2 linked regions of the Bombyx mori genome follow. Each later gene encodes a partner of the first gene's protein in a complex. Links are inferred from orthologs where the notes say so. Each region holds a gene or a part of one and is shown on either strand. Other genes may lie near its edges.

Region 1 (5,810 bases):
CGACAAATAAGAGAGACTATATTTATTACCCATCTTAATTTTTACTACATGTTCTCGTAATACTGGGTCGTACTTAGCCAATAAGTCAACAACCTCGAGAAAATTTCCTCTATTTTCCAGTAAATCGATGTTTTCCTGATGAACACTTTCACGATGTCCTCGAAATGCCAAATTTTGTTTTGCTAAGAATCTAATTATATCAAGTATTCTTGTTAGAATTTCCTTCCATTTTTTTATTTCTTTATCAATATTCTGTTGTTGTAGTTTGTCAATAGTTGCTCCACTTCCAAGTCTTATTTCTAATCCCTTCCATTTGTAATATGATCGGATGTGCAGCGAACTAACCACATGTTGACTAATTTTAGGATTAAGTTTCCACCATTTGTTAAAACCATTTTCCGTATTAAAACCTGCTTGACAAAGATTATCAAACAGTTTGCAGCAGAAACAATAAATACTTTTCTTCGATGGTAATATACGATCTTAAGAGCTTTTCGCCATTAGGCTAAATTTGAAAAAACCAGTCCCGACTCAGTTTTCTTGTTTCACCTTTGGCTTTGCTTGTATTATTAGAACGTTTTAATCCTTCGCTGAAGTCGGCGTCTAAATTTTGAATTAAAAAGGGACCTTGATGTACCAGAATTACTCTTGTATTGTCGTCAATTTTGTTAGGCCATAATCCAATATCTTTCATAGAAACAGACAGAATAATTTGTGCAGCAGATTCTTCATCAGGACTTGATAAACTTTCTACTTCTTCGCCAGTGTGTGAAGCAGGTCTTTCCTCTTGAACAACATTGGATAATGTTTTTTCGCCTTCGAGCGCTGCTTCTTCACCCGTTTTTAAGGCAACAATACTAAAAGAACTAGAAGTTGGCTTATGAGAGATGTATTTGAGTAGTGCTCCAGTGTTTTTAATCTGTATTTCCTCCCTTTTCTTTCTTTTCTTTCTAAATGACGCACCGCTTTCTTTTACTCGTTTCATCCTAGGGATATATAATAAAAATATAACTTGCCGAAATAAATAGTATATTATTTATAGAAAACGGCAAAGCTATTTTACTTCGCTGAATAACATCTATATCTACAATACGTAATACAATATGCTTAACAATTATAAATTCCCCAAATGCACTTGCACCCTAATAATTTGTTTCACTCTTCACTGTTAAAAGATTGAATCGCTAATGAACAAAATGGTTTTTAAGCAATTTATCAATCCAAATACAATTCTTCAAAACGGACTGAGAATATTTATCTATTTGCGAGTTCTGAAATTGTAACTTCGTCAGTATTTTAGTTTTATCTCGTTTAGATTTTGTTGTTTGAAAAAGATAGTTCTTATGCCGGCGCCCTAATGCCTTGCAGACCTAGCAGAGCACCTTCCGCCGGCCCTGTTTTTCAAAAGAAAAATCGATGAATAAAAAAATATTGATATATTACTTCAAAGTAATCATATAAACTTTTCAAACGAAATGACATTTATAAACTGATATTAAAAAATTTTAGTTAGGAAAAATTGCCGAACAAAATCGAAAAGATACTTTTACGAATTCAAAGAATTTTTATTAATACAATAAAATCAAATTATTACCTTGTTCTTGAATTAGCATTCAAAATTTACACTAATATGCATTTATATACACCGATGAATAATATTCGAAATCATATAGTTAATCATAATTTATATAAATCAAATATTAAACTTATAATAATCATAATAATCATTTATTATTCAAGAAAGAAAATAAATATGAAATGAATAAATTGTTTTAAACAACTAAAAGTAAATGCTAAAATGCCGCCCCAGGGTAAGTGCCGCCCGGTGCGGACCGCACCCACCGCCCCCCCCTAGGTACGCCACTGATGCTTGTTAATATTCAATATCATTAAAAATAACTGAATTTATTAAGACCGCGCTAATCATACTTTAACGACTAATTGACCGTCTTCACTGACATATTTTTGTTGAAGTATTGTTGAAGTTTTCAATATTTTTTTGATCTACATAAGAAATATTAGACAGTATAAATGCACTTGTTAACAAAACGCTATTAAATACGATTTTGCCAGTTGACTGAAAATCGGCGCATGCGCAATGTAGGCGTGAGGTGATTGTTTGCTTATTAGATATAAAATAATTAATAATTGAGAATTTAATTATTTTTATGAGCGAACAATCACCAATAGTCGTCGAACAAACGATAATAAATCAAAATTAATTAATCTGAGCAATAAAAATAAAGATATCTAGTATGAGGGGCCAACTTAAGGATGATCATTTGTTTAATTAATTATAAATAAAACGAACAAACAATTTTTACATTCGAACATTAACGAATAAACGACAAACAAATAATTAAAAATAAAAATAAAACCGAAAATCAAAAATGAGGGGCCAAATTCAGTAAGCCTTCTCATTGACAATGTTTTCGAATTTCTGATAGGTCTGTGCTGTGATCGTCATGCACAGATAATACCCATATGTGATGTTTTGAGTTTAAACTTTCAATGAACTAGTAAAAAACGATTTGTATATTTCAATACCTACCTATGTATTTATTCATATTCAATTAATTCAATTACGTGTTATTGTGTGCATTAATAATGGAGGAGGATAAATTCGCGCTGGTTGAAAAAATAATAAAAGATATTGAAAATGTTTTATCGAAAAACGCTGAGTTGTAAATATATTTGGCACAAATTCAAAGATAATCGGAATTTATTTAAATATATTAAAACGTAAAATATTTTCAGGTACGCTTTCGACATAGTTCCAGTGGATAGTAATTTTCGCAATAAAACTCCGGTTCTTCACTTAGAAAATTGCTTAGGGCTGGAGTCGTGGTGTGTTAAGCATGTGTACATGTATTGCTACTCAGAATTAATGGATAAATATTTCTGCAAAACTAAACGTCGAAACAGCACACTCGGCTCTATACATTCGGAAAAACTAGGTCGATTATTGAGTGTAACACTTTTACTGAACCCAGAACTTAATACATTATGGAACAAAAGGCGTGATATGGTACTCAGAAATTTATTAGAAAAAAGTTCAGAGTTGAAATTGACTAGATTAGTATTGTCAAGGAAACCCAAATGTAATGAGGCGTTTGGGTATAGACGATGGTTACTCGAGGCTATATTACAAGGTATAGTGAATAAATGAATTAGTAGATACTGAATTATTAAATTTCCTAAAACACTAATGTTTCAGAACGTTAAAGCTCGTAGTTATAAATTAGATTACAAAAGATACAGTGCACACTAGGCAGTACATTGTCTGTCCGTGGCATAAACACAAGAAATTATGAATTGCTTAATTAATTGTTATCTCAGCCTGTTTTTGTTCATTCTGAGATCATACTTGACTCCAATAATATTTATTGATTTACTCTAGCTTAATTGGATATTTTTCATCTTCCATTATAGCAATATAATAGCTGAAACATAAATACATTATAAGAAAATAGGTAAAATGGATATAAAATGTCTAGTTCTTGATTGTAATAAATAAATTTAATCAGAAAAGAGATAAAAGAAACAATTATGACACATTGAATTTAATATATTGAATTTAAAATACAAGTATTATTTCTAACTACACTAAAGAATTGCCTTCATTTTCAGATGAAAACCTCCAATCAAACTATATCCAGAATCTTGTTAATGAGGAGTTTCATCTCTGTCAAATTGCCTCGGATAAAAGTCCTAATAATTATCACAGTTGGAACCATCGTATGTGGCTGCTTAATACATTAAAGAAAATTACAAATTTTAGCTTGGACCTCTTGTACATCAAAGAATATAATTTCTCGGAAAGATGGACATCAAAACATGTTTCAGATTTTAGTTGTTTTCACTATAGACAATATTGCATAAAAAATGTTATCTTACATTTGAATGATGTATTCTGGAAAATGTTTCAAAACAGCATTGAAATTGATTTACGTAAATGTTTTGTTAATGTTTTGTTAAAAGCTTTACAGAATGATATGACTTTACTGAACGCAGACGATAATTTAATGGAGTACTCTGAAGAAAAGTTAATAAATTTGCTCCTTTCAAATACTAGAAATTGTAACTGTAAACATAATAATGTTTATCTATGTAGAAAATTTGAAGTACTTTTCCGTGAATTAGTTTTAAATAGTGAATTGATACAGTTCTATAAGTGGCATGAGTCACTATGGTACCATAGACGGTACATCGTTCATGAGTTGATCATTTCCATGTATGAATATTTCGGATTGAAGAAGCAGAATGGGGCTCTAGTCAAAGACAATTGTAAGAAATGTAATTCTAATGATTTAAGGCAAAAGCAAGTGAAGATAGTAAGATATGATTGTAATCATGTTTATTCTAGTGCTATATTTAAAGTGCTCATCTCGCATGAAAGAAAGTTCATTGCAGAAAGAAACAGTGATTCAGATAAATTTGCAGAAAGACATGAAAAATACTTGAAATTTGTTGAAGGATTAAATATTGTTATATGAATAGTTCTGTGTTTCTTGTGTGAATTTATGTTTAAACAATTACAAATGCCGTACTTAAACTGGAGTCAAGTTAGGCAAGCAAGCAAGGCTATAGGCTGAATGCTTGGAATCTTTTTACATTTGTAATTGCAGGTATTTTTTTTGAAAATTGTAATTCTAGTTTTGAAACAGGATTTTGTATGATCTAATCAAATAAGATAATGTTATAAAAGTATACCACAATATTAAAAGACATTTTAATTAAAATGATGCCGATTTTTTTAACATTGGACAAGCTTCCTCTCTCCCACTCACCTTGAGATATTAATATGGATTTAGTCTTGATTAGACTCAAATAACGGCTCCAATGGTTCGGATCAAATGGCTACTTCCTATTAAACGAAACGTATGTCTTTCGCGGCAGAAATAGGCAGGACATACTCGTGTGGACGCACAATCCGCTTTATATTGGTCATGGTCCTAATTTAGAAATACTCCGAGTAGTTTTATGTTGTTTCTTACAAAGCGCATTTGATTTGGGACTTTGGATTATTATAATTTTTTTTTATAGGCCGACGAGGCGGCCCACCCGGTGGTGAGTGGTTACCGTCGCCCATGGACTTCAGGAATGCCAATTGCAGAGCCAAGCCGCTGCCTACCGTTAAGTACTTTTTACAAGCCTCGTTTGAAGAAGGGTATGTCATAGCGCTCGGGAAACACCGTGGAGGGGAGCTCATTCCAAAGCCGGATGGTACGTGGCAAAAAAGATCGCAAAAAACGCACTGTGGATGAACGCAGTGGCTGCAGGTAGTATGGATGAACTCTACTCCGGAGGCGGGCGGTGCGATGGTAAAAACGAGATGAAGGTATTATTTCAAACAATTCCGCAGATGGAGCATACGGTACAAAATAGAGAGGGAAACGAAGTCCCTCCGCAGACCCAGAGGTTCCAAACGATCTGTGAGAAAGGGAGTCTCGACAATCCGAAAGGCTCTCTTCTGTGTGGAGTCAAATGGAAGAAGCTGGTATTTGGGAGCCCCGACCCAGAAATGGGATGCCGGACTTGTGCTTTATAAAGCAAAAGTCTTTGTCCAGGCGTGAAGTACCACTTTGCTCTGTTGAGGAATCCGAAGATTTTGGACGCCAACTTGGCTTTGCCTTCCAAATTAAGAACTAAATTAGGAACTAAATCGCATTAATTTTAAGTCGTCGTGACTTAAAGGATAAGACGTCCGTTACATACGTATGTAGCGATGCAACGGTGTTCGAATCCCGCAGGCGGGTACCAATTTTTCTAATGAATAAATACGTACTTGAGAAATGTTCACGATTGTC
Region 2 (6,139 bases), on another chromosome or scaffold:
AAAAACAACCATCAAAGATATACCAGCTTGCAGTATGAATAATATTATGATGTTAAATGAATTTGATCACTAGTCATCTTACTCATAAAATTTATTCATTTAAAAGTTTATTTTCCATACAAAAAAGTGAAAATTATTGAAGAGATGCAGAATTAATGGTGGGCAGCACTTTAATCCCATCACGGTTTACAACAGTCACTTGGAAATTGGGGAGACTAACAAACAATCTTTTGTGAACTTCTTGAACACACTTCTTAAGGATGTCATATGCCTCTGTTTCTGTAGCATCTGAAATGAATAATGTTTTTATTTTGAGTTGCCACTTGATTAATACATTATTAAATTTATAAAATATTTTTACAGATGTTGAAATATAAACAAATATTATTAACTACTAACCTTTTTTATGGTAACGATCCATAATACTCAAACTTAGATATCCACCATAACCATGAGCTGCAAATGGTACCTTCACGCTTGATGCTAAATAGTCCATAAAATACAGTTCAGGTCCATTTTCTTTATCATAACCACCCATGAGCACATTTACAAAGTAGGGAGTCTGTAATTTTTTAGAATAAATATTGAAACTTCTCAACAGTACAAAAATTTTCAACTAATAGTTAATTCTATAGGTACAATAATTGATTAAGAATCAAGATTTTTTGTGGAGAATGTTCATCGTCATCATCAACGCACAATCGTCCACTGCTCGACACAGATCTCAATTCATACCACTGAGTCTTCAGCTCTCCGAAAAATAATAACTGTCATGAATCAATCATAATAGAAATAAAAACACAACTTACACTGCTCCTAAGATACTCTGCGAGATTACGACGTGTGAAACTGGCTGCAGCTGAGGGCCCCAATTCATACCCATTACGCATTTTATACAACTGAATATTTTTTGCAATATATTCAGCAAATTGATTTGTGTCTCCTGAGTCACCAATGACACCCATTACTAATCTATCAGATATCTTATAGATCTTTTCTTCATCTGTAAAATAGAATAAAAACTTTGATTATATAGTATAGTTTATTTGAAAAATTGGTATTAGAAGTTAGATTCCATTAGTACAAATAAAATGCCAAAAAGCAACCTAACAAGTTTACTTGAACCGTTTTTAGATCTGTTTTTATTTATAAAACTAATTTGATCTGAAAATACAGAGGATTCTGTTACAAATTTGCAAACTCACCGTCTTTCATGATCATAATGCTGTGGCTGTTGCTCTGATCGGCTGCTATCATAACAAAGTCGTTGCACTGTATTCCTAAGAGACATTGTAAGTTTATATTTGACATTTTGCAGTCGTATTACTTAATTAGCTTTCACTGCAAATAGTCTTTTCAAGATAGAGATACTTCAATCAATTGAACTGAATTATTTACTTAATTAACTTAGCTATTCTGCCTGTGCGGCCTTAAATTTCATAAATTGTCAAATCACTTTCAGTGTTGTCAGTGTTGAGAGTGTTGCGTGCATACCTTGGTATTGGTAGTAATTCATGGTTTCGGTTTTTTGGAGAAAAGTTGGAGCTATATTTCGTTTACCTATGTGATAGGAATTAATAAGTAGTTAAAATACAAAAAAGAAAGTGCACTAATGTGGGAAAATGAAACAAAGCTGCTGGACGTCACTTCTCGGGATCCTCCAAAAAGTCTCAGTAGATGACCACCATTTTATTAAGATTATATTTCATCCCATATCATCTCATCTCATTTCATTTGATTTCATACCAGTTGATTAATGTCTCGAATTAATAATCTTCATTTCATTTCATCATTTTTCATATAAATAAGAAAATAAATTAAAATAAAACATGACTTAAAGGTCTCTGGCGTTAATGAACGCACATTTTTATGATGCGTAAGCCGGAACGCACGAGATGTGGGAAAAAGAATATAGTCTGTGACACGGGACCTTTTTACCGCCAAATATTTAAAACGACAAATAATTTATAATGTGTTTAATAACTAATGTAATATAATTACTTAGAATTGTTTATGCCGCTACAACAATAAAATTTATATTGTTTCAACTGTGGTGTTAATTACATAAAACACGACTACGGCGAAATAAAGAAGGGACTCTATATGAGCTCCCTTAGGTCTTAGTTACCAGGTCATAAAATCCCTTAAAAAAATTCTTAATAATCTGTGAAAGAGATATTCTCATGACGTAGGCATTAAGACATTTATGACAAATAACCAAGGCCAAATAGTAAAAAATCACTTTTTACGATTTCACGAAGAAAAATTATCTTACAAATGTATTAAAATAATTTTAAGACTTTTGTCTGATTTCGGGTAATCTAATATTGTAGCACGTCCAAGATTGTACAAACGTAAAATTCATTCAGAAGGCTCATTTACGACGAATTAAACGACGAGCTATTGAATCTTGGGTAATATATTTTTTCTTTTATTTTGAATTCTTCTAATATATTTCTTAAAATTCAGACTTTTCATTATTTTTGTAGTTTTTCTGTATTAAAACTGTTTTAATTTTCAGAGACCGAGCGATAAAAATTATCTAACAAAAATGGTGAAAGTTTATGCACTACTTGTATTGTACAAAGGGATTAATAATGCATCCATTCTGAAAGGTGCTTATGATCTTCGGAGTTTTAGTTATTTTCAAAGAAGTTCAGTGCAAGAATTTATGACTTTTGTTAGTAAAACTATGGTAGAGAGGACACATCCAGCATCAAGGCAATCAGTTAAGGAAGGAGAGTATATGTTGCAAGTGTATGTGCGTGCAGATAATTTAGCTGGAGTATTGATATCCGATCACGAGTATCCTAACAGAGTAGCACACACTTTGATCACTAAAACTCTTGATGAGTTTACAGCTGCAGTTCCATCAAGCACTTGGGCTACGGGTAAAGAATCAACAATTGATTTTCCATCATTGGCTTTACATTTAGAAAAATACCAAAATCCCAAAGAAGCTGATGCATTGACGAAAATTCAAAATGATCTGGATGAAACGAAAATTATTTTACATGATACAATAAAAGCTGTACTTGAGAGAGGTGAGAAGTTAGATGATTTGGTTGCTAAGTCAGACAGCCTGTCGATGCACAGTAAAGCATTTTATAAGACTGCGGCAAAAACTAACAGTTGTTGTAATTTTTGAACAGTATATTATTATGATTAACTGTTAACAAAAATGGCCATAACTATTGTAGTATTGTTGATAGTTGCTGAATGCTATGTACTATTTAAAAAAATTATATGAGGTTTGATATAGCTTTTAGGGATTATAAAATATAATTGTATCTCTGATTAATCTGTAACCTGTCACTAAGAGAGTGGCAACTAGCCACAAATACTAAAACCAATTTTAGCAAAGGCTTGAAGAATTATCCTGACCCATCGAATTAAAAGTTCAAACAAATATTGAATCATCATCTTTTCCTTAAGAAATTTCCTTTTATGTTTGTCTGGAAGTTTGTTTCCTAAAATTTAAAAATTTTAGAGGGATAATTTATTTTATTACCTCTTGAGATTACGTTTGTGTTGTAAATTATGATTGTAACTCTAAATCATACAATTATGGCTAAGAGCCAAGAAAAAAAAAAATTAGTTGAAGACTTTTGGGTTTGTTAGAATTGGAGAGCAACATAATTATTAACATTACAACATTATTATTTATATTATTGAGTAATTTAAGAGCAGTGAGTTTAATGTTTAAACTACAAATGGGTCATCATGTCATACTAATTAAAATTGATTATTCCAAAGTAGTATAGTATATCATGAAAATAACTCTAAGGTACCAAGTGTACATATGTTGTAACTTGTTATTCTGTTGCAGATTACTGTAGTATACTTGAATTCTTAACTAATTAAATTTTTGGTCTTAATTGCAATTGTTAAACAAGTCCAGATGCAGACATTTTGAATTATTTTCATCATCACAATGAATGTCGACTTACAGTATTGGTCTAAGGTCTAATAAATGGGTTAAGGATCGTGTGATTTCATTGCAATAATGTACAAAAAACCATGCACAAAACATTTGCAATAACAGCTTAGAAAAGAAAGATTGTGAAAGTGACTTATTTCATGGTTTTTACTAAAATTTAAATGTGAGCTTTATTTAAGTGATAAATGGTTAAATAGGAATAGAAGTTTAACAATTCAGAGAAAAATGTTATAATTATGAATTATGAAGTCTTCTTATTGCATTCCTCAAAAATGATGTTGTTAAAAAATAAATATATCTATGTATGAAAAAATTATTAATGGTAATGTATAGGCCAGTTATTAAAGAAAAATTTGATCAAATGCTGCAGTTTATCAAATTCGATTATATTATACAAGTTGAAGTAGTTTGCAAAATTGATCTGAACTGTTGGGATGATGTAACAATATTCCGATAATAGCTAGCCATTAGGAGAAAATTGCCATTCAAGAGTTGAATTCGTGACATTAATTTTAACAGGCAAGAATGATCTGTTCTGCTCTTAATTAAGAAATTCGTTATCAGCAGGCTTGTTTATAGGCATATTATTTATTATGTGCAAATATAAAGACATTGCACTGAGAATGTTTAATATTTTGAAAATATTCAATTCTTCAATTGCATCACAACTGCTAAACAAGTTTGATCTAGTGAGTCTGTGACACTATTCATTCAGTCACAACCAAAGTTCATTCATAACCCTTGCAGAGGTGTCGGTCATAATCACACGTTTAGGATTACACATGGTGGATGCATTACATACAGTGCCTGAAACAAATTCTGTATAATGCAATGGGATAAAATCGTGATGATCATGTTTGCTTCCATTGCCATCTTTATAGCAATATATAGATATTGTCAAAGGCATGGGAGCCTGTTTGTAGCTAGCATTTGGTATTAAAATAATAGTAAAGAACAGGAACAAATGTAACTATAGTATCATATTTACCATCTATAAACAATTGAAAATCATTTAGTATTGGCGTCAGTTGCCTGAATGGCAACATGAAGACGTGATATTTTTGTGCTCATACTCATGAATCTTTTATATTGCTTTTTCGTTAACATGTTGAACGCCACATGAAAAATCGACTATTTTCATTCAGGCCATGATGCTCACCGGTGAGCCTTTTACTGGTGATAGCACGTCTTGTGAGTCTGCACTGGTATGTACCATCGTCCTGCCTATATCTTCCACCCATCTAAGCAATAAAAAAAAGCCTTATCGTAGTGAAACGTTCGGCCATGAGGCTCGCCCGGGAGTCACGCGAGGGTTCCAACGTAAACGCTTCCTACACACAAATTGCAGCTATCAAACAAAACGCGTATGAAAGTGAGCCGCGTGGCCCTTTAACCAAACCGAACGCCTTGGTTTTCAAATCCCATAGAAAGTTGGTTCTTATCAAGATTATTTATTGCCTTTTAAAATATCTTAAAAACTAGCCTGTAAAATTCGCTAATTTTCACCATCCGTGCAAATTATCGCATTTTATATATTTTAGAATTCAAATCTAGTTGTTAAAAATTACTGATTCCCTGATTTTGGCTTGGCCTGAATGGTATAGTAAGTACGCTAGGCCCTTAAGTGGGCCGCATGGCATTCAAGGTGTTAATGAAGAAAAAAAAGAGAAAAACAGTTACATTTTATTTTTATCATTATAAATGTAAACAAGCCTTAGGATATGTTAAAAGTTAATGAAACCTATGAAATATGTATGTAATTTGAAAATTATGAAATGTAAAGAAACGCTGATGTGAATAGGGAAATTCCCTTTTTTGGTGTTAAGGCTTAACAGTTAAGCAGAAAAAGATCTATATTTAATGTACTAATCTAAATCGAACATATTGTACCTTCAATAGTATATTATATTTATCTGCAATGTAGGTTAAAACATACTTTATTTTGGGTGATAATTTTATTACATTACCAAATAAATAATTAGAATGTTAAAGAACGATGTGTATGTGTTGAAGAGTCGGATTCCAATTGTATATCCATTATTGTAACTAAATATAGTCGAATGTTTGCTGTTATCTTTATGTTTTTATTCTGTTCATTACCTTTATTCCAAAAAGTTGTGTTTCCGCCCCTACTAATAAAGGTAGTGTAACATTAAAATCATTTATTGTGTTTCTAAGAATATGAATTAAGCAAAGAGA

What was found. Proteins that work in one complex are often made in the same cells at the same time.
Region 2: the proteins of protein prenyltransferase alpha subunit repeat-containing protein 1 (region 1) and synaptobrevin homolog YKT6 are in contact, whole or in part, in a crystal structure (PDB 6J7F), measured with the Homo sapiens proteins. The link is inferred for Bombyx mori from reciprocal best matches to the Homo sapiens genes PTAR1 and YKT6. Residues at the interface, in NP_001093136.1 of Homo sapiens: Glu31, Gly33, Leu34, Ile35, Pro36, Val48, Val50, Glu51, Lys53, Leu54, Gly55, Ser58, Lys135, Tyr191, His225, Ser228, Met229, His230, Val231, Ser232, Asp233, Phe298, Asp301, Leu302, Ser305, Tyr306, His309; in NP_006546.1 of Homo sapiens: Met1, Ser29, Phe30, Phe31, Asn83, Glu84, Pro86, Gln131, Asn132, Pro133, Arg134, Gln180, Phe184, Arg189, Ser193.

What each region holds. Positions count from the first base shown.
Region 1 is NC_085127.1:9,750,345-9,756,154, forward strand, and holds protein prenyltransferase alpha subunit repeat-containing protein 1, read left to right. Parts: upstream 1-2,465; 5' UTR 2,466-2,607; coding exon 2,608-2,684; intron 2,685-2,757; coding exon 2,758-3,152; intron 3,153-3,630; coding exon 3,631-4,496; 3' UTR 4,497-4,742; downstream 4,743-5,810.
Region 2 is NC_085124.1:7,755,005-7,761,143, forward strand, and holds synaptobrevin homolog YKT6, read left to right. Parts: upstream 1-2,179; 5' UTR 2,180-2,414; intron 2,415-2,521; 5' UTR 2,522-2,551; coding exon 2,552-3,148; 3' UTR 3,149-6,013; downstream 6,014-6,139. Other genes in the region: proteasome subunit beta type-2, read right to left, coding at 134-288, 400-562, 810-1,003, 1,206-1,311. UniProt on the Homo sapiens protein: Vesicular soluble NSF attachment protein receptor (v-SNARE) mediating vesicle docking and fusion to a specific acceptor cellular compartment. Functions in endoplasmic reticulum to Golgi transport; as part of a SNARE complex composed of GOSR1, GOSR2 and STX5.